Callithrix jacchus: one gene and its partners. The protein of the gene in region 4 interacts with the protein of the main gene of each other region in a pairwise test. Links are inferred from orthologs where the notes say so. Each region holds a gene or a part of one and is shown on either strand. Other genes may lie near its edges. The genes, in order: LMO2, YJU2B, DZIP3 and ZNF24.

Evidence for each region.
Region 1: the proteins of ZNF24 (region 4) and LMO2 interact in binary tests that used the Homo sapiens proteins (3 or more experiments, as listed by UniProt). The two-hybrid records come from large-scale screens. The link is inferred for Callithrix jacchus from reciprocal best matches to the Homo sapiens genes ZNF24 and LMO2.
Region 2: the proteins of ZNF24 (region 4) and YJU2B interact in binary tests that used the Homo sapiens proteins (3 or more experiments, as listed by UniProt). The two-hybrid records come from large-scale screens. The link is inferred for Callithrix jacchus from reciprocal best matches to the Homo sapiens genes ZNF24 and YJU2B.
Region 3: the proteins of ZNF24 (region 4) and DZIP3 interact in binary tests that used the Homo sapiens proteins (3 or more experiments, as listed by UniProt). The link is inferred for Callithrix jacchus from reciprocal best matches to the Homo sapiens genes ZNF24 and DZIP3.

The regions. Positions count from the first base shown.
Region 1 is NC_133511.1:99,241,248-99,249,386, reverse strand, and holds the start of LMO2 (rhombotin-2), read left to right. Parts: upstream 1-3,361; 5' UTR 3,362-3,625; coding exon 3,626-3,632; intron 3,633-3,755; coding exon 3,756-3,975; intron 3,976-8,139. UniProt on the Homo sapiens protein: Acts with TAL1/SCL to regulate red blood cell development. Also acts with LDB1 to maintain erythroid precursors in an immature state.
Region 2 is NC_133523.1:12,550,514-12,558,727, forward strand, and holds the start of YJU2B (putative splicing factor YJU2B), read left to right. Parts: upstream 1-3,448; 5' UTR 3,449-3,508; intron 3,509-4,568; 5' UTR 4,569-4,688; intron 4,689-6,267; 5' UTR 6,268-6,454; coding exon 6,455-6,457; intron 6,458-7,488; coding exon 7,489-7,542; intron 7,543-8,214. UniProt on the Homo sapiens protein: May be involved in mRNA splicing.
Region 3 is NC_133516.1:99,726,191-99,733,617, forward strand, and holds part of DZIP3 (E3 ubiquitin-protein ligase DZIP3), read left to right. Parts: intron 1-2,332; coding exon 2,333-2,498; intron 2,499-3,798; coding exon 3,799-3,894; intron 3,895-4,051; coding exon 4,052-4,179; intron 4,180-7,427. UniProt on the Homo sapiens protein: E3 Ubiquitin ligase proteins mediate ubiquitination and subsequent proteasomal degradation of target proteins.
Region 4 is NC_133514.1:78,423,231-78,431,339, reverse strand, and holds the start of ZNF24 (zinc finger protein 24), read left to right. Parts: upstream 1-3,096; 5' UTR 3,097-3,722; intron 3,723-6,779; 5' UTR 6,780-6,861; coding exon 6,862-7,281; intron 7,282-7,530; coding exon 7,531-7,678; intron 7,679-8,109. UniProt on the Homo sapiens protein: Transcription factor required for myelination of differentiated oligodendrocytes. Required for the conversion of oligodendrocytes from the premyelinating to the myelinating state.

The DNA of each region.
Region 1 (8,139 bases), on a different chromosome or scaffold from region 4:
CAAGGAGCTGGGGAAAAGGGAAACGGAATTAAATGTCAGTCCCACTGGCAGGGATCAAACAGAGATTTCCTCTACTCTGAAAGAACTATTTTACATATTCCAATCACCTCATAGTTCTGAGTCTCTCTTCTGCATAAGGCATGTACAAGTTGTTTTGGGAGGATACAATAAGGTCATAATTGCCTTAAAATTATTCATAATAAAAACACATTTTGAGACTTGATTCTAAATGTTAAACTTAAATTTGAGCGATTTAATTGCCTGTTGAATAGGAATGAAATCCCACCGGTAGGCAGTTATTTCTTACAACCACTGTGTGTGAAATTGAAATCTTAAGATACCATTTCAAATATTCACCTTCTCTAAGGAAGTTCTCCCCAAAGAGTTGTGAAAGATAAGACCCTGACCCAAAGTCATAGGCAGTAATCTCTTTTTCTTACACACTCAGGTCAAAGTAGAAGCACATTATTAAAAAGAAACTTTATGCCCTGAAGTTGGCTGTTCTGAGGTTACCTCTTGGAACCCAAGAATATATTTATTTTAACAACTGACTTGAGCCCCATGCAAAACTGTAACAAGGAAAGTAGTAATTTATCAGATTGAATAAAAACAAGCAGATGCAAACAGATCACTCACTCACCACGATAATGAAGATTCAAATGGAAAATGTTAACATGTTTTATTGAGAAGAAAGAGATGAGCGGAAGGGATCCTGTTTCCTGCTTTTAAAAAACAGGAAATAGTTTATAAATTTGGGTGGGCAATTCTTATCTTAAACCCTCATTTCACCTTTAAATTTAATTTCAAGCTCTTTTAAAATTATCTTAATGATGCCCTTTGCTAAAACTATAGCAGCTGCCATTTATGAGTGCTTACTATATACCAGTTGCTTTTCCTGCAAGCAACCTCATATCTGTTATTAGCCTAAGGCCATTACAAATCTACGTGCCACCCTTTTGTGCATTAACTCATATCATCCCCACAACAGCTTATGCAATAGGTTCTGTCATCTCCATTTTACAGATGAGGATACTGGGAGTTTATTGACTGATTGGAGATGGAGTCTTACTCTGTCACCCAAGCTGAAGTGAAGTGGCACAATCTCGGCTCACTGCAACCTCCACCTCCTGGGTTCAAGCAATTCCTCTGCCTCAGCCTCCGGAGTAGCTGGGATTAAGGGCATATACCACCACAGCCAGCTAATTTTTGTACTTTCAGTAGAGATGAGGTTTCACCACGTTGTCCAGGCTGGTCACTAACTCCTGACCTCAAGTGATCCACACGCCTTGGCCTCTCACAGTGCTGGGGTTACAGGATACTGGGAGTTTAAATTCCTGCTGGGAGCCCAGGTTCAGGTTCATTCACACAGGTGGTCAAAGGTGGGTTAGAATCCAGGTAGTCTGACTCCAGAGCCACCACCGCATATTGCCTCCTCAGATTAAGTCGTTTTCCGAGGCCATGCTGGCTGGTAAGTAAGAGGCTAAATCAAACCCAGGCAGCCGGGTCCCAAAATTCCAGCATTTAGCCACCACACTGACTGTTGACAAGTAGGTGAATTGCTCATCACAACCATGAAAGTAGTGTGGTAGGTTGTATTTTTATCACATAGTTTAGGCTTGTCTAAAATTTCTAGGAATTTTCTTTTTTAAATTAAAAATAAGGGTCTATCAGGGAAAAAGTGGTTTTTGTTTTTGTTTTTGTTTTTTGAGACAGGGTCTTCCTCTGACCCCCAGACTGGAGTGTGGTGGTGCAATCATGGCTCACTGCAACCTCCACCTCCTGGGCTCAAGCAATCCTAGTACCTCAGGTTCCTGAGGAAGCAAGCACCACCACGCCCAGCTAATTATTTTTATTTTTAATAGAAATGGGGTCTCACTGTGTTGCTCAGGCTAGCCTGGGCCTACCAAAGTGCTGTGATTACAGGCATGAGCCACTGAGCACAACCAAAAAAAAAAAAAAAATAGTCTTTTTGTATACTGAAGACTTTGCTTGGACAAAAATGTGCTCTTAAACTTCCTTTCACACACACACACACACACACACACACACACACAGAGCTTTTAATTATAGCCATTAGAGACCCAAGCCTTGGGACACAGGGGCAAAAAATGACAAGAGCATGCAGGCAGTGGTAAACTCTGGTTATACTTGGACAGGTCCATAAAGCTTTGGCTCTGAACAGGGAAAATGAAGCATGCAGGGATTCACTTCTGACTTCAACTACCACCTTTCAGGGTGAGCTCAGCCAGGCCCGTGGTGCCATCTTTAAAATGGGAACAAAATAAGTATGCCTATGATCCAGACTGATCATATAAAACCATGGATCCTGAAAGTACTTGGCAGTTCCCTCCTTGCAAGCCTTAATGACGGGCATCACACCGAAATAGGCCTGAATGCAGATATTTTCAAGGAACTCTGAGGCCCAGGGGAGCCAAAGTTTTTCTCCATGGAAGGGCAGACTACTAGCCTCCTCTCCTTCCCCTCTGCTTCCTGCCTCTTTCTAGAAGGAGGCTGGATGGGGGGGAAGCCTGAACCCCCAAATCAAATCCCCTTCTTTATGCCTGACCCAGGGCAAAATAATCTCCCAATACTGTTCCTGAACATTGGAAAAGCACTTTCTTTGGTCGGGGTCTCACTCTGTCACCCAGGCACTGGCACTACACATGGGGGCAGTTTAACTGCATTAGTCCGCATTCTGAAAGATGCTGAGGGAGGGGATTCCGCCACGAGTCGACTGAGAGGATCCCTGGCCCCGCGTAGTCCCTCCCCGCCACCCTCCCTCTGGGATTAGCTGCCCTGGCTCTGCTCAGGCGTCCCCAGCAGTCCCGGCCCGCACAGCCCCATCGCCTCTGCAGAGTGCGGCCGCAGCCTGGAGCCCACCGCCCGCAGAGCTGCGCGGTCCGGGACAGCCCGGTGCACCGGGTCCGTGGATCTGGGACCTCGAACCCAGGACGGACGCAAAAGCCACTCGGAACGCTTGCATTTCTGTAGGTGCTTATTTCTCATTCTTGTCTTTTCTTGGTTGATCGAACTGTTCGTGGGTTACTTTCTGCCTCAGTTAAACTAAAAGGGAAAGGCGGAAGAGGGGAAGCTCTGAAGAATGATTTAGTGGCTGCCCAGCCTCCTCTCCAAGGAGAGGTGTTCTCCGAGCGGCTCTCCCCGTTCCCGACACTGGCCCCTTTAAGAAACCAAGTCAGTCCTGATGCTGCTGTTTGTATTGCTAATCCCCAGGAGCCCCGTTAAAAAAAAAAAAAAAAAAAGGAAGAAAAAAGGGGAGGTGGGGGGACCGGGCAGCTGTCTCTTTAAATGTGATTTCCTTCTATTGTATTTGAATCGTGATCAGGAAAAAGGAAATGAAACCAGAGACAGAGGGAAGCTGAGCGAAAATAGACCTTCCCGAGAGAGGAGGAAGCCCGGGGAGAGACGCACGATCCCCTCCCCGCCCCCAGGCCGCCGCCCCCTCTCTGCCCTCTGCGGCGAGCTGCGCGCGGAGACCCGGGCCGAAGGTGCGAGGGGCTCGGGGCGGCCGGGCGGGCGCGCACCATCCCGTGGGCGGCGCGAAGCCGGCGACAGTGCGCGAGAGGGACCGGGCGGCGGCGGCGGCGGCGGCGGCGGCGGGACCGGGATGGAAGGTTAAGTCCTGAGCAGCAGCAGCAGCTGCAGCCTTCCGGGGCCAGGCTGCGCGCCCCGGCCCCCGCCTCGGCCGCCGCGCGCCCGCAGCCCGGTGATTCGCTCTCTCTCTTTGGCGTTTGAAGGGAGCGCGGTGACTGTCCTTGAGCGCGGAGGGGCGAGCTCGCCGCCGGAGCGCCAGAGCAAGCGGAGGCGCAGGAGCGGCGGCGCCCGAGCACCCGAGGGGGTCCGAGCCCCGGCAGCCGGCCAGCCCCGCGCGACAAAGGGAGCGCCCCCACCGCCCGGCACGCCGCCTCCCTCCCCAATGTCCTCGGCCATCGAAAGGAAGAGCCTGGACCCTTCAGAGTAAGTGCAGCGCCCCTGCCCCTGCCACCCCCGGTGTCCATGGCCTCCCGCCCCGGGGCGGCGGGGGGGACCCAGGCGGCCCGCGAGGGGGCTCCAGGTGCGCGCCCCGGCGTGCCCTTGGTCCCCTGTGCCGAACGCGGGACTCCCCCCTTCCTCGTGGGTAACTCCGGGGGCCCTGGGAGAGGGACTGGGAGGCGGGCGGGAGGGCGAGGGGTCGGCCCGGCGCCTCTGTGGGCCCCTCCAGGCTACCGGGACGCTCCCTAAAGCCACCGCGGGCCAGAAAGTTTGCACGGGAGCAGGCGCCAGGGAAGCCCGGAGGCGCGCAGGTGCAGTCGGAAGAGCGTTCGGGCTTCACTGCTCCCTTCTCCCCTCTCGCTCAGTCTCGGCCCTTTCTCTTTGTCCATTTGGTCTTGGAAAGGGGAACATTCCAAGTGGAGGCCTCCGGGGTCCCCAACGGCCGACTTCCCGGTCCGCAGGTGGAGCCGCTGCCAGCAGCGCGGGTACCGGGCGGGTGAGGGGTCTGACCGCCCTTCTCGGAGCTGGCTCTGGGCCTCCAGGGATTTCTAGAGCAGCGAAATCCGGAGTAAATCTGAGTACGCGTACCCCTCCTCGGGGTCCACCGATGGGGCCTGTGAACCTCGAAAGTTAGTGCACCATTTTGCGTGTAGGTTAATTCTTCTGGGGAGCAGAGTCTCAGTTTTTAGCATAGTCTCAAAAGGGTTTGGGGTCAGGTAACCAGGGCTCTAATGAGCATTGGCCGCATCTGTTTTCTGAGCCTCGTACCAGTTTGGAGTATTTCTCTATCCCTAACCCATTCTTTAGTGTTAACATGGGGAGCAGGGGGTGTTTAAGATATCATTTTCCTGTCAACGCAAATGCCATTTTAAGAGTCATTAGCTGTCTGGTTTTGAGAATTTTTATTCCTTTGAAGTCCCCATCTAATCCTTTGAAGGGATTTGTTACACAAGACCAAAGGAGCTGGTTAATGACTTGTCCATTTGTGCTTTTAAGAGACATTTGTTTTGTTTTGTCTTTTCCTGCTTTAAAAGAATTGTGCTTTCCTGCTTGAAATACCGCACGCACACACACATACACACGCACGCACACACATACACCCCCTTCAATTTCGGCTATGGTGTTTATTTACCTGGGTTTTACCCTCCGTTACCAGCATAAAAGCTCAGCATGTTCTCATAAAACGCAGGAAGTACCACCATCCAATGAGAATATAAACATCACTATTCAGTCTTGAAGGTTAATACACCAGTTCTATAATGAGCTAGGTTTGTTGTAGCAAAAACCCCCACTTCCTTCAACAAATTCTCAGAAGAAAAATAACATTCCTTTTTAAAAGTATGTTTATGCAAACAATGGGTTTAAAGGGTGGTTTGATCACGTTTTTAAATAAACTTAACAATTACAACCGAGCTCTGAGTTTCAGAGACTGGGCAAGATCACACAATAAGGAAGTGACTTGGATGAATTGGTGCCTAATGCCTTTTTGATCAGTAGAATTTTGTCACTAATCCTTTCAATAGAAGATAAATCTGAAGGTTTCAGTTCCCTGAAGGAAGTTTGCTTCTTTCAAAGTTTGTGCTTTCTCACTGAGGATATAAAACTGAAACATCCTAACTTCCTAACAGGCAGGTATCGACTGCTGGAGGCTCACCAGCTCTTTCCTTCACTTCACTATTTGCCCAATGAAGACAGGTTCTAATCAAAAAGGCACAAGCTGGTTGAGAAATTGCTGCAGTGCATTCTCCCCACCCCCTTAGAAATTGTTATGAAATTATCCCAGAAATCCGGGCTGAAGTGATATTCAGGTATAATATTCAAGATAGGCTCTGGGAGAATATAAAATATTAATTTGAGGGTGAATCAATCTCATTCAGTCATTGTCTTGGATTGTCCACTAAGTATAATGTGATATTATCATTAATTAATTATAGAAAGACAGAGCCAATATCTTACACTTTACTTCTCCATCTCATCTCAGGCCGTCACCATAACTCATTTACTTTACGTTCCTCCTGTGGTCCAGTATCCTACTAGATTCTTCATTGTGTACTTCCTCAAAGCCAACTTGGGTTATTACAGTCAGCATCTCCAAATTACAGATGGAGACTTGCCTAGCTATATGCAAATGAAACATTTGGACAGAAAGCCAGCCAGAATTCATGAACACAGAGATTCCCTTGCTATGCCATTGCTGGCCCCCGCTGCCTCCCGTGAGTACCAAGAGCAGTTCATTTGAATTCCAGGCAGTTTTGCACCAGCTAAGGGCAAATTCTCCTCTTTCACAGTCCTTTGGCAGCATCCAATGTAGTCAAGGTTCCATGAGTGGTTTGGAAAGCCCAGAGTAAGACCATGGGCTGTGGAAAGAGAAGAGATGCAATTCCCAGTTGATACACGTGAAAAAGCCAGGGTATTAGTTATTAGAAGGGAGAATGGTAGTCCTTATATACAATCTGTAGAAACAAGGGAAAGAAAGCAAGCCTTCAGTGAATTCTTAAAACTACAGTCACCAGGCGCGGTGGCTCACGCCTGTAATCCCAGCACTTTGGGAGGCCGAGGCGGGTGGATCACGAGGTCAAGAGATCAAGACCATCCTGGTCAACATGGTGAAACCCCGTCTCTACTAAAAATACAAAAAAATTAACTGGGCATGGTGGCGCATGCCTGTAATCCCAGCTACTTAGGAGGCTGAGACAGGAGAATTGCCTGAGCCCAGGAGGCGGAGGTTGCAGTGAGCTGAGATCATGCCATTGCACTCCAGCCTGGGTAACAAGAGCGAAACTCTGTCTCAAAAATAAATAAATAAATAAGTAAATAAATAAATGCAGTCCTGATTTTTTTTTGAGCTAAGGTCTCACTGTATTGTCTTGCCTAGAATGCAGTGCTCACTGTAGCCTCATCCTTCTGGGTTCAGGTGATCCTCCCACCTCAGCCTCCTGGGAGGCTGGGATTACAGGCTCATGCCACCAAGCTTGGGCAATTCTTTATGTTTTTTGTAGAGTCAGGGTTTTGCCATGTTGCCCAGGCTGGCCTCAAACTGCTGGGCTCAAGTGATCCTCCTGCCTTGGCCTCCCAAAGTGCTGGGATTACAAGTGTGAGCCTCTGTGCCTGGCCATTTTTTTCCCCCCAGATAAACTAGCTTGAACTTTACATTTACTTGTTCTAAAGATGATAATCTCATGAAGTCCAGTTACACTGTATCTACAAAGTGTGGACATGGCTTTGGTACTCCTAAATATTCATAGGGAGTACTTCATACTTTGCATGACAGAATCACCTCAAGTTGTCAGAGTATTATAGACATTGAGCCACCTGAGTCTCCTGTCTCCAAATATAATGGCTGCTGGGCTTTTTGGATACAGACTAATTAGGACACAAGGTCACCTGGTAAGTTAGTGCCAGTTAGAAATAGGAGACACAGGCCGGGCCCTGTGGCTCACACCTGTAATCTCAGCATTTTGGGAGGCCAAGGCGGTTGGATCACAAGGTCAAGAGTTTGACACCAGTCTGGACAACATAGCGAAACCTCATCTCTACTAAAAATACAAAAATTAGCTGGCTGTGGTGGCAGGCACCTGTAATTTCAGCTACTCAGGAGGTTGAGGCAGGAGAATCTCTTGAACCCCAGGAGTGGAGGCTGCAGTAAGCTGAGATCCTGCCACTGCACTCCAGCCTGAGCAACAAGAGCGAAACTCAAAGAAAGAAAGAAAAAAAGAAAGAGAGAGAGAAAGGAAGGAAGGAAGGAAGGGAGGAAGGGAGAAAGGGAGGGAGACACAGATTTATACCTGCAGTGTATCCAGGAAGAAAGTCCTTTACAGTTGGAAGAAAGTCCATTTTTTTGAAACATAATAGATTTTTAAGAAACAGATTTGTGTTTAAGTAAGGTTCCAGAGAACATTTGCTAATTATTACAAATAAGTAAGTATTAAGTGTTTCCCATGTCCCATTTGGGGGACACTAGAATCATTCCTTCCATTCCTTCATTTTCTTTTGGCAAAGTTATTGACTTTTAAATGTAAAAGAGTATTGAGATTCCAGTGAAGCCAAGTAGGCAGGAGATACTATGCATGGCATGTTAACGAAAAACACACGCCACAGCCTACTAACGACTGCTGGTTTGAGATGTCACTGTCTGTTTAAATGCGTTCT
Region 2 (8,214 bases), on a different chromosome or scaffold from region 4:
CTCCACCTCTCACTAACCATGTCACCTTGAGCCAGTTACTCAAACCTCTCTGGGCGTGTCTCATCATCTGTAAAACAGAAATGATGAAAAGTATCCACGTTCTAGGGGCATTCTCTGGGGTTATGCATGTAGGTGAGTACCGAGTATTGCTCAGTGGTGCCTAGTGAACAGAGAGCACTCAACATGCAGCACCATGGTTCTATGAGAATTCACTTGTCAGTAGAGCCGGCTTTGGAGCAGAGGTGGAGCTTGGTACTGAATAATATAGCAGGAGTAACAGTAGCAATATCGTGATCACTTCTGACCCTGCTTTTGAGACATTGCCAATTGAAGTGTCTCCTTCATTGCTGAGAGAAGGTGTTCTTTCTTCTCTGAATCCCCCAGACCTGACATATAGCAGGTGCCTAATGAACAGCTGTTGAATGAACACAGATTCTGTTAGGCTCTACAGGGCATAAAAGTAAATTCAGTATGGGCACGGTGGCTCACGCTTGTAATCCCAGCAGTTTGGAAGGCCAAGGAGGGCAGATCACCTGAGGTTAGGAGTTTGAGACCAGCTGGCCAACATGGTGAAACCCCATCTCTACTAAAAATATAGGCCAAGTGCGGTGGCTCACGCCTGTAATCCCAACACTTTGGGAGGCTAAGGCAGGCAGATCACGAGGTCCAGAGATCAAGACCATCCTGGCCAACATGGTGAAACCCCATCTCTATTAAAAATACAAAAATTAGCTGGGCATGGTGGCATGTACCTGTAGTCCAGCTACTCAGGAGGCTGAGGTAGAAGAATCACTTGAGCCCGGGAGGCAGAGGTTGCAGTGAGCTGAGATTGTACCACTACACTCCAGCCTGGTGACACAGTGAGACTCTGTCCTGAGGGAAAAAAAAATTAGCCAGGTGTGGTGGTGGCTGTCTGTAATCCCAGCTATTTGGGAGGCTGAGGCAGGAGAAATGCTTGAACGCAGGAGGCAGAGGGTGCAGAGAGCCAAGACCACGCCACTGCACTCCAGCCTGGGCAACAGAGTGAGACTCCGTCTCAAAAAAAAAAAAAAGAAAAAAAGTAAATTCAAAAGCCATTCACCTGTGCAGAAGGCAGGGCCAGGCTACTTTGGAGGCCCCAAGAGAAGTTATCCACCCACTTCTGAAAAAGGCCAGACGGTAAATATTTCAGACTCTTTGGGCTCTCTCTTACTCTGCTGCAACCATTCAATTCAGCCCTGTTGCAGCCATAGACAGTACGTAAATGAAACAGATAAATGAATGGGCCCTGCTGTTGTAGGCAGGTGAAAAATGGCTTCCCTTCACCTTTATAGGATCTTTGGCTGGTCTACGAATTAAACTGACATGTAAACATAACAAAAGCCATATTTAATTATGTACCTATGCAGGAGAGTCCCATAAAATACGAGACTCCGAAAAGGATCAGAGCGGCTGGGCACAGCCGCTCAAGCCCGTAATCCCAGCACTTTGGGAGGCCAAGGCAGGTGGATTACTTGAGGTTAGGAGTTCAAGACCAGCCTGGCCAACATAATGAAACCCCACCTCTACAAAAACTAGCCAGGCATGGTGGCGGGCGCCTGTAATCCCAGCTACTCGGGAGGCTGAGGCAGGAGAATCACTTGAACCTCAGAGGTGGGGGTTGCAGTGAGCTAAGATCATGCCATTGCATTCCAGCCTGGGCAACAGAGGGAGATTCCCTTTCAAAAAAGGAAAAAGAGGATCAGAGAAAAGAATAGGGGTTTGGGGCTTCTGGGAGGGTGGTGGCAACACAAGTTATGGGAGTGTGAGGGGACAAATTGTATGATGAAGAAAGTCTGTCTTGTTAAGCAAATAAAGTCTTGCAGGTAATAAAAATTGTCTCAGGCCAGACACGGTGGCTCAAGCCTGTAATCCCAGCACTTTGGGAGGCCAAGGCTGGCGGATCACCTGAGGTTGGGAGTTTGAGACCAGCCTGACCGACATGGAGAAACCCTGTCTCTACTAAAAATACAAAATTAGCCAGCGTGGTGGCACATGCCTGTAATCCCAGCTACTCAGAAGGCTGAAGCAGGAGAATCGCTTGAACCCGGGAGGTGGAGGCTACAGTGAGGCAGGATCGCTTGAACCCAGGAGGTGGATGTTGTGGTGAGCTGAGATGGCGCGATTGCACTCCAGCCTGGGCAACACGAGCAAAACTCTGTCTCAAAAAAAAACAAAGTTGTCTCAGAGCAGCCCTCAGAACAGATGACTGGGCGTGGTTTCACTGTTCCCTAGTTAATAAAACCGTGAGAAAGGATTCATCTTTCTTTCTGTGTTCAGGCAGATAAGATCAATTCAGTTCAGAGAAAACCCCTCCTTCCCTGCATTTGCTGTTCCCCCCAAGTGCCCTTATTTTGAAGCAATCAGCAGATCAAAATGCATATCACTGTATTCCAATAAAACTTTATTTATGGACGCTGAAACTGGATTTTTTAATTTTCACGAGTCACAAAATATCTTTTCCCCCACCTAACCATTTTAAAATGCAAAAACAGAGCAGTGGTTCATGCCTATAATCCCAGCACTTTGGGAGCCAGCGGATTGCTTGAGTCCAGGAGTTCGAGACTAGCTGTGGCAACATAGTAAAACCTTGCCTGTGCAAATAATTTTTTTTTTTGAAATGGAGTCTCGCTCTTGTTGCCCACGCTGGATAACAGTGGCGCAATCTGGGCTCACTGCAACCTCTGCCTTCCGGGTTCAAGCGATTCTCCGGCCTCAGACTCCCAAGTAGCTAGGATTATAGGCGCCCGCCACCACACCCAGCTAATTTTCGTATTTTTTTAGTAAAGACGGGGTTCCACCATGCTGGCCAGGCTGGTCTTGAACTCCTGACCTCGTGATCTGCCTGCCTCTGCCTCCCAAAGTGCTAGGATTACAGGCGTGAGCCACCGTGTCCGGCAGCAAATGATTTTAAAAATTAGCCGGGTACGGTGGCGCGCGCTTGTCGTCCCAACTATTTGGGAGACTGAGGTAGGAGGATCGCTTGAACCCAGGAGTTCGAGGCTGCAGTGAGCTATGACTGCGCCACTGCACTCCAGCCTGGGCGACAAAGACAGACCCTGTCTCAAAAATAGAAAATAAAAATAAATTGGACAAACAATTCTTAGCTCACTAGCCGTCCGAAAACACGGCCTAGTGCGCTTCGCGCCGCGGGCTATAGTTTGCTCACCCACGCTGACCCACTGCCGCGCACAGGAGAGCACTCTCGGGAGGGCGGTGCCAGGAGGTGGGCCTCGGATTGGGCCCCACGTACTGGGCGGGACAGATACGCCATCTTGACGTAAGCGCAGTTGGGCGGGGAATGCCCGGATTGGCCTACCCGGCGTCACAGAGCGCGCGGCATATCGGTATTCAGCCAATCAGCGCGGCGCTGTTGTCTCGCCCCGCCTCGCGCCGGCGTCTGGGTGGTGTGGAGAGGGCGCCCAGTTTCACAGAGCTCCCAGCGCTCACTTCCGGGCACGGTCGGGCCGTGACGTCGGGAGGAGGGCAGGTAAGTGCGGAGGATCGGGGAAGGCCGGGGTCCGGCCGCCGCCTCACCCTGGCCTCGGAGCCGCCTGGCTCGCCCGTCCGCGTTGCGGGACGCGGAGCTGAGGACCCGAGTTGGATGCCCGGAGCAGGCCCAGGTCCCAGCCACGACCAAAGTCCCTGAGGCCCCAGCTGAGACCCCCGACCCAAGTGCCCGGTTCCCGGCCCCATCCTAGCCCGCATCCATATTATGCCTGAAGGGCCCCTTGGTTTCCGCATCCGGAAAATGGGACCAATAAGTCCCCACCTCACCAATTTTTTTTTAAATGATCCTTGTAAAACCGTGAGCAGGAGAAATTACTAAACTGCCAACATTTAACTCGGTGTCAGGCGCTGCTCTAAATGCCTTAACCAACCATTTTACACATAAGGAAAGCGAGGCTTAGAGAAACAGTTTGCCCCAAGTCAAGCAGATGGGCAGCAGCACGGTGGCACTCCGAACCCGAGCTGTAAGCCCAGGACAAACAGGGTCGGTAATTACTTTTGCACGAAGGACCGGAGATACCTACACGCCCCGCCCCCCATAGCCCAGTCTGTCATTTACTGGGGCAGTAAAACCATCTTAAGACATGCACACCCTCACGCTCCCGTAAAAGGAATATTTTTGCTCTTTGCAGGCTCTTCCCGTGTGTTACTTGATTCACAGCAACCCCAGAAAGTCAGTCTTGTCGTCATCATTCGCCCTTTACCAGGGACGAAATACAACAAGCCCGGGGAAGTACAGACACTGACCAAGGTCACCCAGCTGAGTGGAGCTGGGATTCAAGCCCAGGGTGCCGTGACCCCTAACGCCTCAAGGGGCACTTACCTATTTTGTTGGCAAAAGTATTTTTAGGTTCGAACAGACCTTGGAATAATCTAAGCTAAGGGCCGTACTTTATAGTGGAGTATCCAAGACTAAGATGCGAGCAGAACAGTTTATATCCAGGACTTGGCACCACTGCCTCCCCGCCTCATCACATAGCCCCCACTCCATCAGAACCTCATTCATTTGCTTCTTTTCTCTTCTTTTTTTTTTTCTTGAGACGGAGTCTTGCTCTGTTCACCTAAGCTGGAGTACAGTGGCATGATCTCAGCCCACTGCAATTTCTGCCTCCCAGGTTCAAGCAATTCTGCCTCAGCCTCCTGAATATCTGGGATTACAGGTGTGTGCTACCATGCCCAGCCAAGTTTTGTATTTTTAGTACAGATGGGGTTTCATCATGTTAGCCAGGCTGGTCTTGAACTCCCAACCTCAATTGATCCACCTACCTCTGCTTCCCAAAGTGCAGGGATTACAGGCGTGAGCCACTGTGCCCAGTCCCTAAGAATGGTTTTACATTTTCTAGTCATTGGGGAAAAAAATCAAAAGAAGGATGCTTTGGGACAGGTGACGAGTATGTGAAGTTCAAATTTGTGTCAACAAAATTTATATTGGCATGCAGCTACATACGTTCCTTTATATGTTGTTTGGGGCTGCTTTCTAGCTACAAGGGCAGAGTTGAGTTGTTGGAGCAGAGATCATCTGTCCTAAAAAGCCAGAAATATTTACTGTCTCCCCCCTTGACAGAGAAACTTGGCCAATCTTTGTTCTAGAATACGCTTCACTGCCTCACAGCATCTCTCTGTAGTGTAAACTTGAACTTCCTTCTATTTGACCTAAAAGGCTCCCTTCCAAAACATGGGAGGGCATCTGACCACCCCTAGCTTGAGGAGCCCCCACATTTGTTAGCTGTGTCACTTGCACTGACTGTGGCCCTTACGGAGCCTCGATCAGTTCTCTCAGTCGCTCACCCCATTGACGTTTATCTGGGCCTGGCACTGTCCAGGTGTTGGGGTATGGTACAGTATAACCTGGCCGGGAGACATGAACAGACACAGGGGATGTGACCAGAACGCCAGGAAACAGGCCGGGCGCAGTGGCTCATGCCTGGAATCCCAGCACTTTGGGAGGATGAGGCAGGCGGATCATGAGGTCAGGAGATCAAGACCAGCCTGAGCAACATGGTGAAACACTGTCTCTACTACAAATACAAAAGTTAGCTGGGCATGGTGGCAGGCACCCATAATCCCAGCTACTCAGGCGGCTGAACGAGGAGAATCACCTGAACCTAGGAGGTGAAGATTGCAGTTAGCCAAGATCACGCGACTGCACTCCAGCCTACAACAGAATGAAACTCCCTGTCAAAAAAAAAAAACAACTCCAGGAAACTAGTGACTATGGATTGAGTGGTCAGATGAGTCTGTGTGTCTGTGTGTGTATGTGTGTTTTGAGATGGAGTCTCACTTTGTAGCCCAGGCTGGGATGCAGTGGCACCGTATTGGTTCACTTGAACCTCTGCCTCCTGGGTTCAAGCGATTCTCCTGCTTCAGCCTTCCAAGTAGCTGGGACTACAGGCACGCGCCACCGGGCCCAGCTAATTTTGTATTTTTAGTAGAGACGGGTTTCACCATTTTGGCCAGGATGGTCTCGATCTCTTAACCTCATGATCTGCCCGCCTCAGCCTCCCAAAGTACTGGGATTACAGGCGTGAGCCACTGCGCCTGGCTGTCCATATTTTAAAAGATCCCCTGGGCTGCTGTAGGGTGAGCAAGCATCGGGGGCAGGGCAGGAAACGAGAAGACAGCGCTGGCCCACGTGAGTGATGATGGGTGCTGGACTGGTCGGGGCCACAGAGAGATGAAAGTGTCAGATGTGATGGGTACACTGGCTGTTGAGTAGGCAGAACTCCTCTTTCTGAACAGACACACGCCGCTTTTTGGATGTCTGCAACGCCTGGCAGGAGTCTTGTGTGAGCCGGCTCCACCACACGGCCCACGACATCTTCGCAGGGAAGACAGTGGACCAGGAGGCCAGGACAGGGCAGTGTGCTCACAAGGCCAGTTTCTGATCGTCTGCCCTGAGGGTGAGGACCAGTAGGCAACTGCCAGGATGGTGAGTAGACAGCCTCGTGTGCCCTGGGCTCCTCTCCCAGTCTGTGTTGGACCCTGGAAGCAGCCCCTCCTCCCCTCCCACAGCTCTAAGATGATGCTTCCTATGTCGGGGTCACCCTCTTGATGCAGTGGGTCTGAAACGTTGCTGTGCACTAACATCACCCAGGGGTGCTTTTTAAATGTTTCCTTTGGTGTTTTTTTTTTTTTTCTAAGACAGTCTCACTTTGTCACCCAGGCTGGAGTGCAATGGCACGATCTTGGCTCACTGCAACCTCCACCTCCTGAGTTCAAGCAAGCACCTCCCACTAATTTTTATATTTTTAGTAGAGACCGAGTTTCACCATGTTAGCAAGGCTGGTCTCAAACTCCTGTCCTCAAGGAATCCACTACGCTCAGCCTAAATTTCCCCTTCCCCCTCCCCTTCTTTCTCTTTCTTTCCTTCATTTTTTTAAAAGGTAAAATTCATATAACATAAAATAAAACATTATGAGGCCAGGCGCAGTGGCTCGCGCCTGTAATCCCAGCAGTTGGGGAGGCCAAGGCAGGCGGATCATTTGAGATTAGGCATTTTGAGACCAGCCTGGCCAACATGGCATAACCCTGTCTCTACAAAAAATACAATTACTAAGCCAGGCATGGTGGTTCACGCGTGTAGTCCCAGCACTTTGAGAGTCCGAGACAGGTGGATCGCCTGAGGTCAGGAGTTCAAGACCAGCATGGCCAACATGGTGAAACCCCCGTCTCTACTAAAAATATAAAATTAGCTGGCCATGGTGGCAGGCACCTGTAATCCCAGCTACTCGGGAAGCTGAGGCAGGAGAATTGCTTGAACCCAGGAGGCGGAGGTTGCAGTGAGCTGAGATCACAGTGAGCCGAGATTATTCCACTGCACTCAGCCTGGGCAACAAAGGAAGACTCTATCTCAATAAAATAAATAAATAATCCAAAAAAAATGTTTTTAATGAGATTTGGGTGGGGACACAGCCAAACCAAATCAGCCTGTCTCTCAGTCATGTCTCTTCCGCTTTACAGGGTGAAAGGAAAGGGGTCAACAAGTACTATCCTCCAGACTTCAACCCCGAAAAGGTAAGAGCAGCTCCCTCCTCCAGCCCCACACTAGCAGAAAGGCCCACGTCATCCCCTCTTGGGGTTGGAGCTGCTGCTGTGGAAGGATGGGCGGCCCACAAGGTCTTTTTGTCCTCCGCTCGTTACATGAGGCTCGGGCTGTCTTCACTTCTGGGTGGTAACTGGGGCTCTCCTCAGGGACCTGTCACTCCATGTCCAGCAAGGAGCATAGTGTGTTTACAGCGGGGGCCCAGGATATGGCCAAGCGCATGGATGAGGATCCCCTGGCTCCCCAGCTCCAGCACCTCTGGCGTCCTGGTTGTCGCCTCTGCCTGGAATCTTTTCCTCCATTTCACCATACCCTCAGTTCCTTAAGGGCTTTCCTCACAGAGGTCCTCCCTGACCACTGTCTCGTTCTCTGTGGCATGGCAGAGCACTTTATATAACCTCACAGCCCTTAGAACTCCCTCACTTATTGTTCCTTTATTTGTGTCTTGTCCGTCTCCCCTACTAGAACATTCTCTCCATGAGGACAGAGCTGTTCATGGCTGTGTCCCCACAGGGTAGGTGCTCAGTCAGGGCCCGAGTCCATTGCCTAGTCCTGAGTATACGACTTTGGCCTTTGTATGCCAAAGTTTCTGCATATGTCAGAAGGGGAAAATAAAAGGAGCTGACCTCACAGAATCATTGAGG
Region 3 (7,427 bases), on a different chromosome or scaffold from region 4:
ATGTAGCTTGCATGATTAATGACAATGTAGAATATGAAGGAAGGGGTGGAGACAGCCTAATGAAGAGATCATCATTTCTACCAAAATGTTTATCAATTGAATGGTAGTTACTTCAGAGAACTCTGAGGACATAAAGTATCCTCAAAACAGCAGCAAGAGGAACATATTTTGTTAACTTTAAAGCTATCACTTGTAGTTGATATTTTCAATTGATGTGATCCACTTGGTATATAAAATAGTTCATCATTTAAGATGTGTTTTCACCTTCTTTGGCAACAGGTTGAGTCACTGGAGCGGTAGTTTTTGTTTGTTTATTTTTAGGGTGTGCCTAATGCCATAAATATAGTTTGATAAAGGTGAAACAATGTCATCAATCATTTTGCTTACACAGTGGATCCAAATCTGGATGAAGAAGCTTTGTCTTTAAATGGAAATTTGCAAATATACACAAAAGTAAAGAGACTAATATATATGCAGTAGCATATATACCTGTAACTGTGATTCAACAATTATTCTGTTTTTCACATTTGTTTCATACTTCCTTTGACATTTTGTTCTTTACTGAAGGGTGTTCAATCCCAAACATCCTTGTAATTTGACCCCTTCATTCTTCAGTTTACATCTTAGAAATATGAACATTTTTTATATTATCTCAGTGCTGTTATGTACTGCATAACAGCATGTTGGTCAAGGACAGACCTCAGGTATGATGGTGGTCCCATAAAATTAAAATGAAGCCGAAAAATTCCAATTGCCTAGTAGTGGTGTAGCTGTCATAACATTGTAGTGATATTACTTTATTTTTTAATAAATTTAACATAACCTAAGTTTACCATGTTTATTTTAAAGTCTATAGTAGTATATGGTACTCACCACTCATTCACTGACTCACCCAGAGCACCATCCAGTCCTATAAGCTCCATTCATGGTACATGCACTGTACAGGTGTACAATTTTTTTATGTTTTATATTACCTTTTGACTGTAATTTTTCTATGTTTAGATATGTTTAAATTCACAAATACTTATCACAATTGCCTATCATATTGAGTACAGTAAAATGCTGTGACAGGTTTATAGCCTGGGAGCAATAGGTTATGTCATATAGCCTAGGTATGTAGTAGGCTATACCATCTACTTTGTGTATTAATGCTCTATGATATTATGTTATGACAAAAACGCTTAATGACACATTTTCCAGAAACTGTCCTTGTTGTTAGGCAATGCCTGAGTATACTTTAAAAAATTTAGGAATAATCTTGGTGAACTTTTCAAAAATACAAATTCATCTGTATTTTTACAGTTGTAGGGATGTTTAGAAACATTTAATTTTTAAAAGCTCTTCAGATAATTTAGAAAAGTAATTAAATCTGAGAATCAGTGTTCTACACAATCAATTGATTTCATTGAACTTTTCAGAATGTTTGGATCACTCTAGAATACCTCAGTAATATCTAATTACTGCTTATATAGTATTTTATGAATTATTCCACAAGCATTAGATTTCATTTTTTCTAGATCTCAGTGTTCTAAAAAGTAATAATGTATCCTGGACTTTCTATTCACTAGCTAAATCAAGTCATTTACATTACAATCTAAATAAGAATACTCCTGTTTCTTGTTGCCATTCAAAGAGATTAGGAAGGAAATTTATAGCTAGTAAGTAGTAGTAGGCCAAGTGAAAGGACAGTATCAGGCAATTAAATTTTAGAAAAAAGTATAGAAATTGGTTAATTGCTATCATTTGTATATAGTATGTTCATCATTTAAAGGTGGTCTCTGTTAGTAGTTAAGTTACTGAAATCCATGTAGTTCTTTTTTAAAAGTCCTGTAACAAAAGAAACCTCCGTTTTACAGTCTGTTTTATGTTCTATTTTCCACCTTCTGTTTAAAAGTACATTGGACCTAATCACTGAAGTTGCTTAAACCAACCTACTTGTCAAGGAAATTATGGGAGAACAAAGAATGTTATAATGGTAAAATAATATATCAGTTGCGGAAATCCTTGTCAATATTTCTGAAATACTGTTTTCCAAAGCAACTGAAATTACTAGTTATAATTTGTAAAGTGAACTCTCAATTTTTGAAAACAGTGGCATGAACAGAATTAAACAGGTACCTTGACTGAGTGCTACTTTAAATATGCTAATGTTCATTAAGAATCTTCAAAAGAAAGACTCAGTATGAGCACTATCCAAACGTTCTTTGGCCATGAACCCTTCTAATGCTGAGCATCTCGTGAAACCAGTACAATACTAATTTGGGAAGCCATAGCTTAGATGAAAATCACTGTACGAGTGTAAAGGCTCACATTGATTATGTTGCCGCTATAGCCCATATGTGGTAGAAAACGAAGAGCAGTTGAAGAAAGAACAAGCAAATCCACAGTCAGTCGGTGGCTTTTTAAAAGATGACGCAAGTGATATTCAAGAGGATTCTGCAACGGAAGACAAGTTTTATAGCCTGGATGAATTGCATATTCTGGACATGATAGAGCAGGTAAGCTTGATTGGAAAGGGTACCTGCCTTCTCTCAGATTCAGTTGTTACCTGGTTTTTCCTGTGACTCTCTGAACAGCATAACCCCTTGAAAATTTCAGTGGTTTGTACTGTTTGTGAGGAGAAAAAGAAATACAGAAAAGGAGGTAAGGAAGGCTATATGAAGGAAAATAGATTAAAAAATACAGAACCCCTAGGAGCTAGAAACTTCAGGAAACTTCACCTTAGCCCTCAGACCATTTCCTTGCTTTAAATGTAGGGCAAAGTTGATCACAGATGCTTTTCTTGCAAAGGTTTTTTGAATACCACAAAGAAAAAAAAAAACTAGCATAATACCACTAGATTACAGGTCATGAGAAAAACGGGTTTGTAATATAAAGCTGCTTTGATTTTTAAAAATTCAATATGATTTTTACCATGAAATGGCTACAAAAATGGCTACGTGTAGCCATGTTTTTTTTTCTGGCTCCATTCCTGGTAGACACTGCTTGGAATGATGTACCTATATGTGAAGAGGCACGTGAATGTGATTTAAGTGCTCAACAGCAAATGAATTTTTTTTAAAACCAATTTTTTTTTACCTACTAGTGTGAATTCAGTGATAACCTGCTCTGCTATTTAAATATAGTGGTATATAATATGTAGGAATACTCATTGTCTAAGGGTACAGTTAGTACAAATCATTCCTTGGCCAATAGTACAACATTCATATAATTGTCATACCTTTTTTTCTCCTAATTAGAATACATACATTTTAACTGAAATGATATATTCACCTGCATTTTGTCAAGAGCTGTGCTAAGACAGAGTCTCTGTTATAATGTTTACAATGTAATGCATAAGTTGAACATTAAACTCAGATGATGCAGTGTAATAAGTGCTTGGGCAATGAAGACTGCCTGAGTTAGAATGCAGGCTCCTCCACTGACTGTCTATGTGATTTTGGGCAAGTTACTCACTATGAGATCATCTCTAAAATGGAAATAATGACTGTCTACATCATATGGTTCTTATGACAATACGAGCATCACTCTTACAAAGAAAGTGCTTAAGAAATGGTAGGCATGCAGTTGGTGGTCTCCAGCAGTAGCAGCAACAGGCAAGTAACTGGTACTCTATTAAATGCTCTAATTGAGGGGAGGTGGGTTTATCTAATGGTGCGTTTATCTAAGTTGGGTGTTTTACTTGAGACAAAAAACATGAACAGGAGTTAGATGGCAGCTTTAAATCCCTTTCAAATAACTAAAATATTAGTGTTTTTCTAGAGGAAAGTAAGACATGCATATTTCCTCTGCTCATAGGGCTCAGCTGGCAAAGTAACCACAGACTATGGAGAAACTGAGAAGGAAAGGCTTGCTCGGCAAAGGCAGCTTTATAAATTGCACTATCAGTGTGAAGTAAGTATTTTTGCCATTAGATCTGAGGGAAGTGAGAAGTATTTCAAATATTAAAATTACAGGTGTTTGCTGTTTGAAAATAACTTTGTTTGCATTTTTGTTTCAATTTTCTGGTGATTTGAACAGAATTATCTGAAATAATATTTTTATTGATCAGGATTTCAAAAGACAGTTGAGAACAGTGACTTTTCGGTGGCAAGAAAACCAAATGCAGATTAAAAAGAAAGACAAAATTATTTCATCTCTTAATCAACAAGTGGCTTTTGGAATCAATAAGGTTTCCAAGTAAGTGTAAATCTTTTGATAAAAGGAACTTCTGGGTTTGCCCCATAGTAAACAGTATCTTTAATACTTACTCCCTGCATAACCACTAGGTGGCACTGTGACTACGCATTAGGAACTCCAACCACAAGGCTGCACTTGTTTAAAAACCAACCATATTTTTTGTCTTGCCAACTGGATTGAGAAATAAGCAGCTGCTCACACTATATATCAAGCTTTTCATGTATTGGCGAACAAGTGTGAATGTAATAGATAATTAACTTTCAGGTCATGACTTTAATTTGTAAAAATGTGGCCAATGATTGGCTGTTTCTTTATAGTATATGAATACATTCCTCAAAGACACCAGGGAATCTGTTGAGTGCATTTTTATGTTGGTATCTCAGAGCATTTGTGTTCTATGCCTGTGAGATTGAAAACAAATCTCTTTTTTTGTTTGTTTGATTGACTCTTCCCCACCTTACCCCAATCTCTTTTCTCCTAAACCTAAAGTTTAGGATACGCTTTATGTATCCTGACCAAAAATTCTAAGTGAATTAGGAAAAAATTAGTAACGTTGTTTGTTCTTTCTGTACTAATCACTGCTTCCAACCTGTATTGATTTAAATAGCAGCATAGTTTCAAGCCAATTATTTTAACAAACAGTAATACCGTAAGACACCAGCCATCCAAAAAGTCTAGTTTAAAATACATTGCAGTTCCTAGAATGCTGACAGGGAGAATAGACAAGTGCTGGGAATGTCTTATGAAATTGCCAGAGATTTAGCTCTAAGTTTTCTCTCATATTGCATCTGCCACATGAAGGGGTTATTAGCAAGAACTAGATGCCATAGTTCTGACAACATGATTTCATTCATAAGCATTGTCAGACTTATCCTTACTAGAGTTAGAGAGATCATTCAAGTTTAGAAGACTGTGGGACTTAAGAAAGCTCAGACAAACGAAGCTGGCTGCAATCATTTAAGAAACTGTACTTCAGCATTCAGAACTTCATCTTTTAGCCTAAAGAGGATGACTAATCTAGAAATATGTCATAGAATATCAGAGACTAGAAAAGCCATGCCATCAGTGAGGATGAGCTGACTTTCTTCCATCTGAAGATATTCCTCCTCAACTCCTGACAGGTGGCCCATGTACCCTTACATGCTTGAGGCTATTAAGTAGTCCACTTTAGGGGATGCATATGCCTTCACAAAATGAGCATTTAATGTTGGGCATTCACCAAACATTTATCAAGGGCCTACTATGTTAGAAAACTTATGGAAGGCACATGTAGAAGATACCAAGATGTGTGAGACATTCATTATGATCCAATGGAGAGTGTAATTAACATGTAAGGATAAAACTACATAAAATAGAGACTTCCAGGTCCACTAAGATGTATAGCCCCATTTCTCACAGCTGTTTCTTCTTAAAAACTTAAACACCCTGGATATAACACAACAGAAAAGCATAGTAACACTCTAGAAGGTAGAAAAAGAAAGAATGCTGTCTAAAGACATTGAGACTTAAGGAATGAGCTGGCAAAAATTTTCTGATTGCCTCCCATATATCTCGGGGCACTGCGGAAGCCTTTAACCTGGAATTGCTAAAAAGCAGAGGGGGAAAAAAAAACTGTAAAAAAGCCTGTTTCTTCTAGCCAAATTATCAGTAAAAGGAAATTATAATAATAGAAAGGCTTTTTGACAATACCCACCCTACTGCAGCCACACACAAGTGGTCCCATGCCACCCCTTGGAAGTAGGTGGTACACAGCGATTCTCCCATCTAACATAAGTAGGTAGCAGGAATCCTGTTTTTCTGGTAGGATAGTGTTGGCAGTATTAACCAGACAGCTGACTTCCATGTTCCACTGGGGAGAAGGAGACAGTACTTTAATTCCTCTGCAGGATGTGTCAGCTGAAAGCTGAACTTTACCGCTACCCAGCACCAATATTACTTAACAAGCCAGTCTGAGACAAAACTAGTCAATACTAGGCTTCATCCTCACTCCCTCTTACTGAGAATTAAGTCTTCCCCCATGGGACTAGCTGGCATTCCCTTTCCCCACTTCCGTCAGCTGGTGCTAGAGGGACACAAGGGAGCTGAACTTCTGCCTCTACCCTGCAGCAACAAAGTAGTGCGAGTCAGTCCTTTGCTTTCTTCTTTCCCAATGTCAGCAGGGTCCAGCAAAGAGCTGATCTTATATTCCACTTGGCGGCAAGAAGGCAATGTGACTTGGTGCTCCACTTTCATGGGAAGGTATCAGTGGGACTGGGAGGGGAGCTGAACTTGTACACCTCTCATCTGCATTGAGGCAGTGCGAGTCAGTGCCCACTTTTCCTGGGGTGCTTTTCGTAGAGCACAGTGCAAAGCCATGCATACCCACCTTCCTCGGCTTTTACATTATACCTCAACAGGAGACTGCCTGTTAAAAATAGGAAGATTAACTAGAACCCAGAGTCTCATAATATTCAAAATATCTATGGTAGAGTAGAAAACATAGACCATACCAAGAACCAAGAAATTCAGACAAGAAAGATTAAAGACCAGCAAATCACAATATTAATATTACTGAGATATTGGAATTATCTGACAAGGATTTTAAAGCCACCATCACAAAAATGCTTCAACAAAACTGAATAATCTTGATACAAATGAAAACCTAGAAAATCTCAGCAGGTAAATAATAAGTAGGTAAATAAAGAGTGGGAATTCTATAACTAGAAAATACAGTGATTAAAATTAAAAGTTGCTGGATATACTCACTAATAGAGTGGAGATGACAAAGGATTCAATCAGTGAACATGAGGACAGCTGAATAGAATGAACTCAATCTGAAGAACAAAGAGAAAATAAACTGAGAGAAAAATATGAAAAAGACAGTGTAAGGGACCTGTGGAACAGTAACAAAAGAGCTAAAGTACTTGTCACTGGAATTTCAGAAGGAGAGCAGAATGAGAGAGAGACTGAAAAAGTATTCAAAGAAATACTGAAAATTTCCCAAATTTGATGAAATGTATAAATTTACAAATTCAGAAACTAAGTGAACCTCAAACTAAGTGAACCCCAAATAGCAAAAACTCCAAAAAATCCATGCTAAGACACATCATAACTTCTGAAAATAAAAGACAAAAAAGTCTTGAAAAAGGGCAGAGAAAAAAATTACTTATGAAACAGTAATTCGAATGACAACAGATATTTTTCATTTGAAACCATGAAGACCAGAATGAAATGGTAGTTTATTCAGTTACTGAAAGAAAAAAGTAGAA
Region 4 (8,109 bases):
ACTGGACATGGTGGCTCACACCTGTAATCCCAGCATTTTAGGAAGTGGGAGGATCCCTATAGCCCAGGAGCTTTAGGCTGCAGCAAGCTGTAATCATGCCACTGCACTCCAGCCTGGGCAACAGAGTGAGACCCCATCTCTTTTAAAGGGAAAAACAAAGGAATCATGACTTCATTTTATTTATCTCTATATCTCTGGTAGCCAGGTAGTATATGTCTGGTTGTTTTATTCATTTTTAAGAATCAGATGTTTGCTACCAAGGCAAGGCAAGGTTGAAAGATTTGGCTGGTAAAGAAATGAGCCCTTTTTGAATTTAGACATGTTATTATTTACACAGACATTGAAAGCAAATGAAATGCCAGCTCTCCTTGAGCTTTTGTCTCAGATACCAAATGATGACACCAAAACAGAAGGGGCTAGATGACTACAGCATGCGTTGTGGACACCTTGTTGCTGAGGGTTAATGCCATGCTGCAGCTAAGCCTTGTTATAACCTTAAGTGGGTAAGGCAGAATGGCTCATTGGAACCCAGGAAGCAATGAAAAACTGCCTCATGACAGTCTCCGTGGAAGACAAGGAGCTGAGTGGGAAATGGCCTTGCAGAAGCTGCTTACAAGCCTCATATGCGCTCATCTTCTGGGAGGATCCTAAGGTGTTCTGCCAAGACTCAGATTAGCTGTGGTTCATGCATTACCTATGTGGCCTATGTGGATATGTGCAAGGTTGTCATGCCCTGGTATGAATCTGCTCCCTCCATTCAGGTTGCCCAGAGGAACATGATGTTCTATCTTGACTAGATCTTTAAGATGGCATCAAGGGCCATCATTCAGGAAAAATCCCAGAGGACTTCAGAAGGATGGTGTTTCAAAGCAGGTATTATTGGCCTCTGCCCTCAAAAGAGTAACTTAGTGAGGAAAACCTCACTGTGGTTTCCATTTAGTATTTTAGAAGGAATTAGGAATAATAGAATGGAAGCCAGGCACAGTGGCTCACACCTGCAATCTAGGAGGCCTAGGCAGGAGGGTCACCTGTGCTCAATTTAGGAGGCCACGGCAGGAGGGTCACCTGTGCCCAGGAGTTGGAGACCATCCTGGGAAACATAGGAAGACCTCGTCTGTGAAAAACAAACAAAAAAATTAACTGGGCATGGTGGAGCACACCTGTTGTTTAAGGACTTGTCAAAAGTATAAGTCTAGCCTTCCATAAGCATTTCAAGATAAATTATTACAGCATAAAATAGAAGCCTTTACATAGGAGAGTGAAGTGGTCTGATTTGTAATTTTAAATGATCACGTCAGCAGCTATTTTATGGTATAAAATACCCGGTTACTCAAGAGGCTGAGGTGGGATAATCACTGAGTCCGGGAGGTTCGAAGCTGCAGTAAGCTAAGACTGTACCACTGCACTACAGCCTGGGTGATGGATGAAGATCGTGTCTCAAAAACAAACAAACAGAATATAATCACAGGAAAAGTGTTCTGTAAAATTCTGCAACATTTTTAACTTCCCCAAGGTTTCATTTTGAGATTTATCACTTTTGTCTTCCAACATTAATTAGATGTAAAAACTCTTAAAACAAAGATGCCTTCAGTTAGCCTTTATGAATCAGAAAAGAGGAAAAGGTTGGGAAGAGGAGCCAAGCTGCTTACTGGTCCTATCCAAGAAGCAGAATGAAAGGGCTGGATTTCTGAAGCTTCCTGCAATGAAGAGTGTTAGCAGGGGTTGTGAGAAGAGCTCTGGTCAGAGTGAAAAGCAGTGCAATACCATCAGCTGCTTGCTCACTTGCTCTTTCATTCATGAATCCAGCAGAGTCTGAGTGCACCTTGGGGAGGGCATTTTCCCGAATGAACCAAAAAGTTGAAGCCTGAGATTACTGGAATGCTTATAGAAGGCTGGACCTACACTTTTGACACGTCCTTAAACAACAGAGCTCCTTTGTGTGGTGTCTGATGCCAGACATGTGACCTAAAGGCAGCGATGTAATCAGCTCACAATTTATTTATTCAACAAACATTTATCGAGCTCTCTATTTACCAAAGGCAGTCAGCATCCTGGGACTAGGATGGGATAGTGCGGTGAACAAGACAGACAAGGTCCTTGCCCTTAAAGGACTTACAGACAAAACAAAACAAAAAACAAGTAAATAAATGAAATCACTTCCATTAAGTGCCATGAAGGGTCATGTGCTATGAAAGGCAGACTGTGAGGCTGAGGCTACTGGGCCACAATGAGCTGAAGAGCTGAGGTGATAGGGGGCACCAGGGACTGGGGGTGCAGGCAGGCAACAGACCACAGGGGCCTTACAGATCATTACAAAAAGTTTTTACGCCATAAATTATCATGGCATAATTTGGAGGCCTTTAAATGGGGGAATGAAGTGGTCTGATTTGTAATTTTCAATGATTGCGTCAGCAGCTATTTTATGGTATAAAATGCCCAGCTTGAAAATGACCATGCATTCTACAAATTCACCGTGACATCACTGCCAAAACTCTTGTCTCTTTTGGTTTTCCTGACAGATAAATTGGTCAGAATTAAGCTCCGTGACATAAGTAGTGGGAGCCAAAGATCTGAATCACGTCTTGGTTTCAAATCTTGCTACCCACAACTGAGCTGTGAGCTCTTGTCAAGTTATTTACGGTATTTGTGCCTCAACTATCTCAGCTGTTAAACGGGGATAATGAAAGTTCCTACATCATTTATTTGTGAGAAACAAATGACATGGAAAGCACGACGAGACCGCCTGGCACAATGTAGTAAGCTTTCACAAATACTCGCTTTTATTCCTTCTTGCAGGGGATTACTGAGAGGATCCACAAGATAATGCATATCAAAGGGTTTGCGAAACTGTAAGGACTATCTTAATGGCAGAGTCCTCTCTCTTCTTTTCTTTTCTTTTAAACGGTCCTAAGGACTCTGGGCTATTCGAGGAGAGGCACGAGGCCAAGCGCAGCCTCAATGCGGTCATTGTCGTGGGGCCGCCCCTCCCCCGCCCGGGAGCTTCTCCATGGCAACGTGGGCTTCACCTCTCCCCGCCTCCTCGGGCCCGCAGACCGGAAGCAGCCCGCGCCAGGGGCTTCTGGGAAAAGGCTTCTTAGCGGCGTTTCTGCGTCTGCCGTGGACAGCGAAGCTGCTGCGGTTCCTGAGCCGGAGGTTTGCGCCGGTGTGCGGGGACGTTATGAGAGGGAGGGGGACACCGGGCTAGGGTCTCCGGCCGTCTTAGCAGGAGCCGGCGGGGAAGCCTGCTTCGGACCTTCCTCAGCTTCCCAAGAGGCCCGGGGAACAGGCCGCGGCCTCCGCGCCTAGCAGTTATGGGGCGGGGAGAGGTAGGCGGGAGCGGGAGGCCTGCTTGGGTCTTCGGCATCTGCGGAGAGTCCTCTGACTCTCTGTGTCCTCCGAGACCCTCACCTTCCCCCTCCCCCACTGGCCGGTTTTGTTCTATTTCGAGGCCCTGGCGTATCGCGGAGGGTTCTGGGAGTCGTGTTAGGAGGAGGCGGGAGTGGGGCGGGACTTGCGCGGGGCTGTTGGGATCTGTAGTCTCGCCGGCCGCGGGCGGAAGTGCCATGGTTCCGACGCTGTTGTCACAGCGTCTGTTGTCACAGCGTCTGTTGTCACAGATGGCCTTTTGGTCATCTGAAATCTGCTGTCCTGAATGCTGGGAAGAGGGGCTAGAGGACGTTGGGCCAGGGTCGGGCTACACAGCGGGTCAATGCAGCAGTGAGGTAGGCGATCACCTGGGACCAGGTACCCTGCCCAAACGTTGTTGGGACCGTGGGCCTTCCCTCCATGTCCCACGAGTAGTATGCTCTACAACGTAAAAGGAAGAGAAATTTGTGTAGAGATACTTAAACCATTGATAAGCAGGTCCTGGAATAGAAACGAATGAGTGTTAGGTAGACCTTATTTATAAGGCCACCACACTCCAGAATATTTAATTAAGCCAGTATGTATTATTTGTCTGATAAGGCCTTTTCTGATTCAGTCTTCATCTTGAGTTACAATAAATTTTTTTAAGTTGTTATTGTTCAGATTCTGGGCCCTGAGTAAATAAATAGAGTAGGCTGAATTGCTCGTTGCTAGTATGTGACATAAACAACAGCACGGGCATGATAGTGCAAATAATAAAGGTCCAGGAACAGCACACAGTTTTCCTGAAGGTAGAAGCTGGGGAGTGAGTCATCCAGTGTAAGGACAAGACACTGGACCACTGCCAAGAAGTTAAGGTGCTTATGTGAGTGCCTTTTCTTAATAGAATTTTCTGCGATTAATGCCTATCATTATAAATATCAATGTACATATGGTGTGATGGAAGACTGAATATTTACATATTATGGGCAAGATAATTTTTCAAAATTATGTGATCTTTCACATATGATCTTTTTAGTATTATGTGATCTGTTACTTAGCAAGTGAACATTTTTTCACATATATTTTGAGTCCAAGGAGTTCTTAAACACCTTAAAAATATTTAAGTTTTAAAAAAACATTTTGTAAAGAAAATTTTTTTAAGCACGTAATAATAAAGCGAATCTTCCTTTTGAGTTGACCTGTGTGTGTCAGGAAACACCAGTCCTGAATTGCAAATAATGGGTTCCATGGTCAGGCACATTTAGAAAGCACTGAAGTAGTCTGGTTCTTAATTGGATTCTTCTGATTATTGACATAGGGTTTGTTGTCTTAGTAGGTCATGATTGGCAGACTTTTTCTTTAAGCGGTCATATAGTAAATAAGGTCATGAATAACTTACCAATAGTGCTACAGTCTGAGAAATATGTTAGGCTATTTCATCCTTGTGTGAACATCACAGAATGTACTTACACAAACCTAGATGGTGTAGTCTAGTACACATTTAGGCTATCTGGTGTAGCCTGTTGCACCTAGGCTACAAACTTTTACAGCATGTTACTGTACTGAATGCTGTAGAGAATTGTAACACAATGCTAAGTATTTGTGTATCAAAACATAGAAAAGATAGAATAAAATATGGTATAAAAGGTTTTAAAAATGATATGCCTGTACAGGGAACTTACTGTGAATGGAGCTTGCTGGATTGGAAGTTGCTCTGAGAAGTCAGCGAGTGAGTAGTGAATTTGGAGGCCTAGGACATTATTGTACATGCCAATGGACTGTATAAACCCTGAACACTTAGGCTATACTACATTTATTAAGAAAACATTTTTTTCTTCAATAATTAACCTTAGCTTACTGGAACTTTTTCACTTGCAAACTTTTACTTTTTTTTTTTTCTGAGATGGAGTCTTGCTCCATCACCCAGGCTGGAGTGCAGTGGCCTGATCTCGGCTCAGCGCAACCTCTGCTTCTCAGGTTCAAGCAGTTCTGCCTCAGCCTCCTGAGTAGCTGGGATTACAGGTGTGCTGTATTTTTAGTAGAGTCGGGGTTTCACCATGTTGGTAAGACTGGTCTCGAACTCCTGACCGCGTGATCCCCCTGCCTTGGCCTCCAAAGTGCTGGGATTACAGGTGTGAGCCACCATACCCAGCCAACTTTTACGTTGTTGTTTTTTTTTTAAACTTTTTTACTCTTTTGTAATAATACTTTGCTTAAAATACAAACACATTGTACAGCTGTACAAATATATTTATATCCTTATTCTGTAAGCTTTTTGCTATTTTTAAATTTAATTTTTAGAGACAGCGTCTCTGTTGCCCAGGCTGGAATGCAGTGGTGCAGTCATAGCTCACTGGAGCCTTGAACTCCTGGACTGTAGTGATCTTCCTGCCTTAGCCTCCTAAAGTGCTGGGATTACAGGCATGAGCCACTGCACCTGGCCAATTTTTTTTGCTTTTGGAACTTTTTTGTTAAAAGCTAAGACACACACATACCCAGGCTTACACAGGGTCTGGATTATCAATAACATTGTTTTCTACCTCCACATCTTATCCCACTGGAAGGTTTTCAGGAGCAGTAACATGCGTGGAGCTGTCTTCTCCATGATAACAGTGCCTTCTATAATACCTCCTGAAGGACCTGCCTGAAGCCATTTTGCAGTTAGCCATTTTTTTTTAATAAGTAGGAGGAGCACACTCTAAAATAGTATAGTATAGTAAATACATAAACCAGTAACATAGTTGTTTGTTATTGTTACCGTTTTTTTTTTTCATCATTCTTGTCTGCTTAGTTACCAAGTTTTATGTTCCATATATAACTGTATGTGCTAAACTGGCAAAACAGCAGGTTTGTTTACACAAGCATCACCACAAACGTGTGAATCTTGAGTTTTTCAGCTCCATTATAATCTTATGGGACCACTGTCATCTATGTGGTCCTTCATTGACCCCAATGTCATTATGTAGTACATGACTGTGTTAGGTGTTTTTTAGGCCATGTAGTCACTCAACTCTGCTATTGTAGTGTGAAGTATGAATAAATACAGTTATTTATGGAAACAGTCATGTTAATTTCATATCATTTCCACATGTCATGAGGTATTCATTTGATTTTGGGGAGCTCCATTCTCTAAAATATCATTAGGTATTCATTTAATTTTAGGGAGCTCCATTCTCTAAGGCACTGTGGTGAAGGCCACAGCTATTTAAAAATGTGAAAATTGTTCTTCATGCAAGTGTTGTACAGAAATGGGCGGCAGGCTAGATTTGGCCATGAAGCTGTAGTTTGCCAACTCCTGGTGTAGGTTATTGGTCGAACGAAGTTTGTAATTCAGTCAAAGAACAAGTATCTTTTACTTCTTTTATCAGTGTAAGTCCAAATTTTTAGGATATTTTTGCTCATTTATGTATTTTTTATTTCTTGTACCTCAGGAGTACCGTGAAGAAATCGCGGTATTGCCCTGAGGCTTATATTCTGCCTCAGTTGTCCTTTCCTGAAGTATTATAAATCAGAATGTCTGCACAGTCAGTGGAAGAAGATTCAATACTTATCATTCCAACTCCAGATGAAGAGGAAAAAATTCTGAGAGTGAAGTTGGAGGAGGATCCCGATGGTGAAGAGGGATCAAGTATCCCCTGGAACCATCTCCCTGACCCAGAGATTTTCCGACAGCGATTCAGGCAGTTTGGATACCAGGATTCACCTGGGCCCCGTGAGGCTGTGAGCCAGCTCCGAGAACTTTGCCGTCTATGGCTCAGGCCAGAGACACACACAAAAGAACAAATCTTGGAGCTGGTAGTGCTGGAGCAGTTTGTTGCCATCCTACCCAAAGAGCTACAGACTTGGGTTCGAGATCATCATCCAGAGAATGGAGAGGAGGCAGTGACAGTGCTGGAGGATTTGGAGAGTGAACTTGATGACCCTGGACAACCGGTGAGCTTGCTTCTGTCATTTCCTGAGAAGCACTGGCATCGCAGTAGGCAAAGCTGCTGAATTAATTCCACTCAACTAAGTTAGAATTATGTTTATGCCTTTCCCCCCATTCCCCTACCACTCCCTGTTATCTGTGCTTCTTTGCCATCTAGGCCTCTGTAATATATGTTTTATGGGATTTCTCCTACACGTTTTTAGTTCTGATTCTCATTAAAATTCCTTCTCTGAATCAAATCTTTCTGTTTCCAGGTTTCTCTCCGTCGACGAAAACGGGAAGTGCTAGTAGAGGACCTGGTATCTCAAGAAGAAGCTCAGGGATTACCAAGTTCTGAGCTTGATGCTGTGGAGAACCAGCTCAAGTGGGCATCCTGGGAGCTCCATTCCTTAAGGCACTGTGGTGAGGACCAGAACTCTGTGTGGGCTAGAGGGTGAACTAGAGTGTAGGCCTTTTGTTCAGAACTTTGCTTGCTCTCACTGGTGGGGATGTGGGGGGAATCAGATCACTCTCAACCTGATACAAGATCTTGATTTATTTCTAATTAAGTTGATTTTGCTGGCCTCAGACCTTTTATTCCTAGACATTAACATCTTCAACCTTTTCTTCCCTTTCAGTCTCCTTCCTAAAAAGACTTGCCCATGTCAGGCTAGCATTTGCCTTACTTTGAGCAAGCACCCACCCATAGACCAAGTCCCTCTGTTTTGCATTCCGTATTACTTGTCATCTGTTTTCCATCCTTTTACTTTCAATCTCCTGCCTAATTCTATTGGTATAGTAAGCTTATCTGAAGCCTCTTCTAATCTCTTTGTTGTGCATCACTGAAATCTTTC